Sus scrofa: one gene and its partner. The protein of the gene in region 1 purifies or fractionates together with the protein of each later gene. This does not show direct contact. Links are inferred from orthologs where the notes say so. Each region holds a gene or a part of one and is shown on either strand. Other genes may lie near its edges.

Region 1 (3,749 bases):
TTTACTTCTAAGGGACCTGCCCACTACCTCCTATGACTCTTACTTGCATTTTGCTAAAATCAAATGGTCTACTCACTGCCTTAGGAATTTTGTTTGTTTGTTTGTTAGTTTTTGCTTTTTAGGGCCACACCCGCGGAATATGGAGGTTCCCAGGCTAGGCAGGGGTCACGTCGGAGCTACAGCTGCCAGCCTACACCACAGCCACATCAGATCCCAGCTGCGTCAGCGACCTACACCACAGCTCATGGCAACGCCGGATCCTTAACCCACTGAGGCCAGGGATCGAACCCTGGTTAGATTCGTTTTCGCTGCATCACGACGGGAACGCCAAAGAATTTTTATCCTGTTTCGCTCATGTTATTTCTCCCACCTGAAAAGCCTTTCTCTCTTCCCTCGGCTTTTTAAAATGCTCTACCTCCTTAAAGTCCCACTCAAGGTTCAAATTCTAAGAACCCTTTATGTCTACAAAGATCTCATCCATCCAGAATATTTCAACAAAGGTTGCCAATGGTAAATGCCAGTGAATCACGTGTGCCCAAGTTAAGGTAAGAGGACATGCTAGGTATCCCCACTTGTGCTAGTGCTGAAGGCTCCTCAACAGGGGTTTGAAATTTTCATTGTCCTCTCATTTTCACAAATGTCAATTCATTCTTGTTTGCTGGAAGAGTGCAGGCTAATACACGGAGGACCAAAAAAACCCTGTTAATTGGTGTGATCTTTTTGAAACTTCACTGAAAGATGACTGTGGAGCCATACACTTATCTAAGACTAAAAGAGCTATTATGTTAGGTACATTTAGGGCCCTGCAGGAGAAAACAAGGTTCACAGCTCAGCTTATTTTTATCAACTTCCTACTGACAAAATAGAGTGCTATTCTGAACAGAAAACATAAAGATATAAAAACCTTTCTATGAAATTTGGAGGAAATGAGTCTTACAATGCCCAGAGAATCATCAGTCAGCCACATTACTGGTCCAAACACAATGCACAATCAATTCTTGTTAAATAATTAAAAGTCTCATTTCATTGTTATAAGGACAGGATTAAACCTCCCCACCCCACCCCCACAAAAGATATCCAGAACTTTTGCAAGAAGACAAATTCTGAGGCCAATTTAGGGGCAATTTTCACTCAACACTCTAATTTATACCATTTGTTCCTAGAGCTGCATCCCTCAGGTCACTTTACAACTGATACTCATTGACCTTCAAAAGAAGGTTCATATCTACCCTATTATATTCAGTTTAAGAAAACAGAGGGAGCCCACAGCTTTCTTTTTTTTTGTTTTTTTTGTTTTTTTTTTAAAGAATACAGAGGAGGGAGTTCCCCTTGTGGCTCAATGGGTTACGAACCCAACCAGTATCCATGAGGATGAGGGTTCGATTCCTGGCCTAGCTCACTGGGTTAAGGATCCGGTGTTGCTGTGAGCTGTGGTGCAGGTCACAGACAAGGCTCAGATCCCATGTTGGTTGTGTCTGTGGTGTAGGCCAACAGCTGTAGCTCCGATTTGCCCCCTAGCCTGGGAACCTCCACATGCCTTGGGTGCAGACCTAAAAAGAAAAAAACAAAAACAAAACAAACCCAGGGGAAACAGATACCAAGAGGCAAAAAAAATTTTTATAAAAGAAAATGGGCTATCCTCCAGAGCTTCATCACTTCCAGTGTTCCAAAGAGCTAGAGTTTTCCTAAACTGTTATTTAACTCTAGTCAGCAATTTTTCACCCGTTTAAATCTAGACTCCTCAATTAACTTTGTAAAGTCTCTTGATGGCAAGTATCATGATGCTTTTGCTTCTCCGCATTCCCCACAGGCATAAAACCCCAAGTGTTTTGCCCATTTTTGTAAAGGTTCTGAAGCTGGTGAAAGCTTAAGTGCAAGGTCACTGGGCAAGTCAGAGAAGACACAGAAAAACTGTCATTCAGTAGCCAGCTAAATATCACTTCTCAGATAGCAGACAGGTCCTTTCCATGTCCAGAATGATGCAAATCCTTAACAGATAATTAAAAAACAAAGCACCCACATAAACTTCATTACACCTGGCCATTAACCAAGCTTGTTGAATGATGCAAATCCTTAGCAGATGATTAAAAAACAGAACATACACACAAAACTTCACTACACCTGGCCATTAACCAAGCTCATTTACCATTAGATTTTGGAGAAAAGAGAGGCCTTTGGTCGTTCACCCGCATCCACCCCTTCCTCGTGACTTTACCTGCTTGTACCTGGCATACAGGTACAAGAGCTGCTCCCTGCTGGCCACCTGAACCAGGCCTTGGAGGTGCGCGGCCGCCTTCTCAAACAGCTCGGTCAGGCTCCTGGACGCCTCGGTCTCGGGGCTCTGGAGGGATTCCGCATCCCCGGAGTCGTCCCCCGAGCTCAGCTCTCCGCCGCTGTCGCCCGTGGTAGCCCCCGAAGGCAGGAATGGCGAGGCCATGTGTCCGCCTGTCTTCTTCAGACCGGGTGTAACGCCGTCTTGGGGGCCTGGCCCACCAGTCCCCTCCCTGAGTCGGACCCAAGCTCACTTACTCCGCGCTCCCTCCCTTAACTCTATCTCCCTCCCTTTTTCCGCCCGGCGCGTGCAGGGCTGGCTCCGCCACCCTCTGCGGCTAACCCCTGCGGCCCAGGTCTCCTCCGGCCTCTCCTAGCTACCCAGGACCTCGGACTCATCCGGGGTCTCTCCAGCAGCGCTGGGGGTCCGCTGGCCACAGGCCTCGAGGTCCCGGAAAGAGGGCGGGACGGGGGCCGGTAGGGGGCGGGGCGGGGGCGGGGCGACGTGAGTGCCGAGCACGCGCCCAGGGCTACGGCCGGCCCCCTGTTACACGCTGGGAGAGGGAAACGTGGGTAGCTCTGGGTTGGGCACCCTCCAGTAAATTAAGGGACTCTTGCGGTGAGCTAGGGAAACGCTGCTTGGAGAAAGTGCCCTGAGTCGTTCAGATGTCCGTTAATCGTTTTGCTGAAAATACCGGAACCCATTCTCGGGCTAGGCCATCGGCGGGTGGGGAAGGAGGCCGTCTATTTGGTAGTGTAGCGATAGGAGCGGAGTCGTGGGAAACTTGGAGCTGAGCACGAAGGTTCCGCCTGCGCCCGCCTCCCCAGATTGTGTAGCCTCAGTGTCCCAAAGCGGACGTCGAATGTCGGCATTCTCTTGCTGGAGGGATTGGTTCTAACTTGTAGAGTGAATGAAAATATGGGAGATGGGACCTTCAGCACCCAAACTGTGAGATTGGTCAAATCTCTTCATGTGTTGCTTTGCACGACTTGCAGAACCCACACCTGGCAGAGCTCATGGGACCCCACCCCCGTGGCCCTTAGCCTGATTTGCTTGTTCCCAGCTCAGTCTTTGCCGCTGTGCTGTGGCAGTCACTGACAGTGAAACCAGAAATACGCTTAGTTCTGCCCTATGTTAGAAACCTGCAAAAACTACAATATGATTATAATAATGTTAACAGAAATAATGATCTATAGTAAGAATAGGGTTTCCCAGGTGGCTCAGCGGGTAAAGGACCCCACGTGGTCACTGCTATGGCTTGGGTTTGATCCCCGGCTGGAGAACCTCCACCTGCCTTGTGGCAGCCCCAAAAGAAAATAATAGAAGAATGTTTTGTTTGAGCCAAACCGAGGACCAAAGTCGAGGAGTCAGCCTCTCAGTAGCTCTGAGGTACGGCTCTGTAGAAGCGTGGTTTTCAGCACATGAATGAATCTCATAACAGCAGAGCTCAGTAAGCCATCAAAAGCTCATCCTTTGT
Region 2 (3,649 bases), on another chromosome or scaffold:
ACTCCTCCTGCTTCCTGGTGGGGCGCGGTCACTGGGACCTGCTACGTGCAATGCCCTGGTAATGGTGTTACTGTGACCCAAGGCCTTGAGGAGGTCTTAGCCACGTCCTGGGAGCTGGCTGACCTGGGCAGCCTGACAGACGCAATGGACAGGGCAGGGCAGGGTTCCAGAACAGTGCCTACTGCCGATTCACCACTCATAACATCCACGTACTGCTCTGCTTCCCACCACGTGGAGGGCGCATCCCAGCCTGCTTTGGATCGTGATTCAGCTTAGCCTACATCTGCTCCAGAGCAGAGCTTATCAAACTTTCAAAGTGGACACGAATTCCCCACCAAGTTCCAATTCTGCAGAACTGGCGCTTGAGATTGTGCCTTTCTACAAGCTCCTAAGCAATGCCTGTCCTGCTGGTGGGAGGAGCACAGGCGGCATAGCTCAATCTCCCTGGACCCAGGTGCCCCTCTCCCCTCACCAGGCGTTCATCCTGCCCTCACCCCCTCCTCCCCACCCAACACACTGTCACATTTCACCGTGTTTCTGGACGGGAGCAGTAACATGGACAGCCTGAAGGTCACTTACGTTTGCTGTTAAAACACACGGTTTTTTCAATGTACCTGCTTTCCCAGTCACGTAGAAAATAGGAGTTGGGTTATCAATGGATCCAGAATCATGATGCAACCACTCCAAAAACTTTCTGTCCATAGCAGCCTCTGAAGTCAGCCATCAGGGCGAGCCATGGCTTGGTCTCAGCAGGCATCTCTAACACTGCTCTGTCCAGTCTCTTCTGGAATCCTTCTATATTCTGCCTGTCCCACCCCTTGGTGTTGACCAAACCTGCATGTGGTATCCCAGGTGTTAAACCATCACTGTTAAGCACCCACTGCCTGAGAGACAGGGGAAGAGGCTGGGGACTCGGCCCCACGTCACCTCAAACGTCTGCCCAGATAAACAAGACAGTCTCTCTATAAAACCTACCGTGGGAAGAGAGACCCCTGGGCACACAGCCCCACTCATGATGTGCCAGCACGCCGTTATCTCTGCAGATTTATACTGGATGATAAGGACTAAAAGGACCATTATCTGTTCTCAATGTGTGTCACTGTGCAAAGACAAGGTCCCTGAACAACAGTCTTCTCTACACTGCACTGCAAAGACGATCCTCTAAAAACAACCACCAAAGAACTCCAGGACTCTCCTGTGCTCCCTCACAAAATCAGCCTGGAAGCCTTAGATCCCTCGCCCTCGCCTGGAGAGGAAAGCACATACATACCCAGTTTGGGGACGGGCTGCGTGTCCCAGAACTGGTAGCTTCGCTTGCTAGCCTCCTCCATGGTTTTTGCAGGTCCCTGACCCACTGAAAAAAGTTCTATGGCCTTCTGTATTTCCTGGATCCTCTCTGCTGGCAAAGAGTTCATCTGAACAAAACAAAGTTGGGAGAGAAAAGGCCCGTTATATTAATAAGCACTTCTGATAAATTCAAGTCCAAGAGTTAAGGGGGTGTGGTTCCCCAGAGGTGACCTATCGTATGACAATTGGAAAGAGCATGGTTGATGATGAGCAATGATGGGTTGGTGCTTCCTAGAGGGTTTCTCTTCTTAGTCTATGATGTCTGATGGCAGAGTAAGACATGCTCGGCGTTAAATTTCAAACAACGCATCAGCGTAAATACATATATAGAAGGGGACTTCCCTGGTGGCTCTGTGGGTTAAAAATCAGGGGCCATCACTGCTGTGGGGTAGGTTCAAACCCTGGCCCCAGAACTTCCGCATGCTGTGGCGGAGGGGGGAAACAAAACAAAACCAAACCTTGGGAAGGTTTAAAAAAACCAACAATCCCATCTCTCAAATATAATCCCTGTCATCAACAGTCTTAAATTTTGGGAGTTCCTGTTATGGCTCAGAGGTAATGAACCCACTAGTATCCATGAGGACATAGGTTCGATCCCTGGCCTCGCTCATTGAGTTAAGGATCCGACGTTGCCGTGAGATATGGTGCAGGTCACAGACGCCACTTGGATCCAGCCCTGCTGTGGCTGTGGTATAGGCCCGCAACTACAGCTCCAATTTGACCCCTAGCCTAGGAACTTCCATATGCCCCACATGCGGCCCTAAAGAGCCAGGAACGAAAAATAAAAACCAGGCTTAAATTTGGAAAGTAGGGTGAGAAGAAGCAAATATAATTTCAGACTTTTGTGCATGCAAGTTCCAAACACACACACAATTTTTAAAAACTCAAACTGGATCATATAGTATTATCTTACAGACTGTTCTTCAAACACTGTCTTAGAGACCTTTCCACGCAGTTGCATGGACCTGCCCATTCCAATGACTGAGCCCTTGGTGCACAGACCACCACATATCTGGCCACCCCCTACCAACGGGCATCTTGGTGACCTTGGGCTTCAGTTTTACAGACAACGCTGTAATGAACTTCCTTCTACACCTAATTCTGCTCACTGAATACATATTTTTTCAGGATAAAGCCTAAGAAAGGAGGCTTGCTGGGTCAAAGGAGATACATATTTGAGATTATATATACTGTCAACTTGCTCTTTAAAAAGAGAATATTGGAAAATTCCCACTGTGGCACAGTGGGTTAAGAATCCGATTGCAGCTTCTCGGGTCAAGGCTGAGTTACAAGTTCAACCCCCAGCCTAGCACAGTGGGTCAAAGGATCTGGTGTTGCTACAGCTATGGCTTGGATTCAATCCCTGGCCTGGGACTTCCATGTGCCATAGGTACAACCTAAAAAAAAAAAAAGAGAGAGCAAGCGAGAACAAGAGAGAATGAATATATTGGAGTTCCTTGGTAGCTCAGTGGGTTAAGTGTCTGGCATTGTCACTGCTATGGCACGGGTTCAATCCCTGGCCTGGGAACTTTCACATCCCTTGTATGTGTACACATGTGTGCACGCTAAATAAATAATAAAATAAAAAGAGAATATCAGTTAATAACCCGATGAAGAGTGGATGGGAGTGTGTTTCCCTAGACTCTTATCATTAAATTCACCAAATCTTAACCTCTGCCAATCTAGGAGGAAAAAAACAGTGCTTTATTTTTTCTTTTTGGCCATGCCCCCAGCATGTGGCAGTTTCTGAGCAGGAATTAGACCCGCACCACGTGACCCGAGCCACAGCATCGACAACGCCGGATCCTTAACCAATTGAGCCGTAGAGGAACTCTTCCATTTTAAGTTTAACCATCCTTCCATATAAAAACCTTTACTTCTTCTTTGTGAATGGTCTACTCATTTCATCATTTCATTATTTTAAACCGATTGATTCATGTACTGGAAATGTTTGCCCAGTTTGTTGTCTGCCTTTCTGACTTTTACAAAAAGTCTGAAATGTGCCGCTTTTTCTTTTATGGCTTCTGGATCTTATGTCAGGCTTAAGATTATACAAATACCCATAACTTCTAATACTTTTCCTTCACTGCTTTTTTTTCCCTTTCGTTTACATTGCAAAGGAAAGGAATAACAGAAACCAACATATTTACATGGCTTATTCCTGGGAAGTAGGACTATGTGTGATTTTCATATTCTTCTTCTTGCTGTGTTTGGTTTTTTTTTTTCTTTTTTTGTCTTTTTGCCTTTTTCTAGGGCTGCTCCTATGGCATATGGAGGTTCCCAGGCTAGGGGTCTCACTGGA

What was found. The genes of interacting proteins can lie anywhere in the genome.
Region 2: the proteins of ACBD6 (region 1) and NMT1 purify together in Homo sapiens (co-immunoprecipitation; 3 studies listed by BioGRID and IntAct, with this or other methods). This does not show direct contact. The link is inferred for Sus scrofa from reciprocal best matches to the Homo sapiens genes ACBD6 and NMT1.

What each region holds. Positions count from the first base shown.
Region 1 is NC_010451.4:122,113,037-122,116,785, forward strand, and holds the start of ACBD6 (acyl-CoA-binding domain-containing protein 6), read right to left. Parts: upstream 2,762-3,749; 5' UTR 2,438-2,761; coding exon 2,216-2,437; intron 1-2,215. UniProt on the Homo sapiens protein: Binds long-chain acyl-coenzyme A molecules with a strong preference for unsaturated C18:1-CoA, lower affinity for unsaturated C20:4-CoA, and very weak affinity for saturated C16:0-CoA. Does not bind fatty acids. Plays a role in protein N-myristoylation.
Region 2 is NC_010454.4:18,320,391-18,324,039, forward strand, and holds part of NMT1 (glycylpeptide N-tetradecanoyltransferase 1), read right to left. Parts: intron 1,416-3,649; coding exon 1,271-1,415; intron 1-1,270.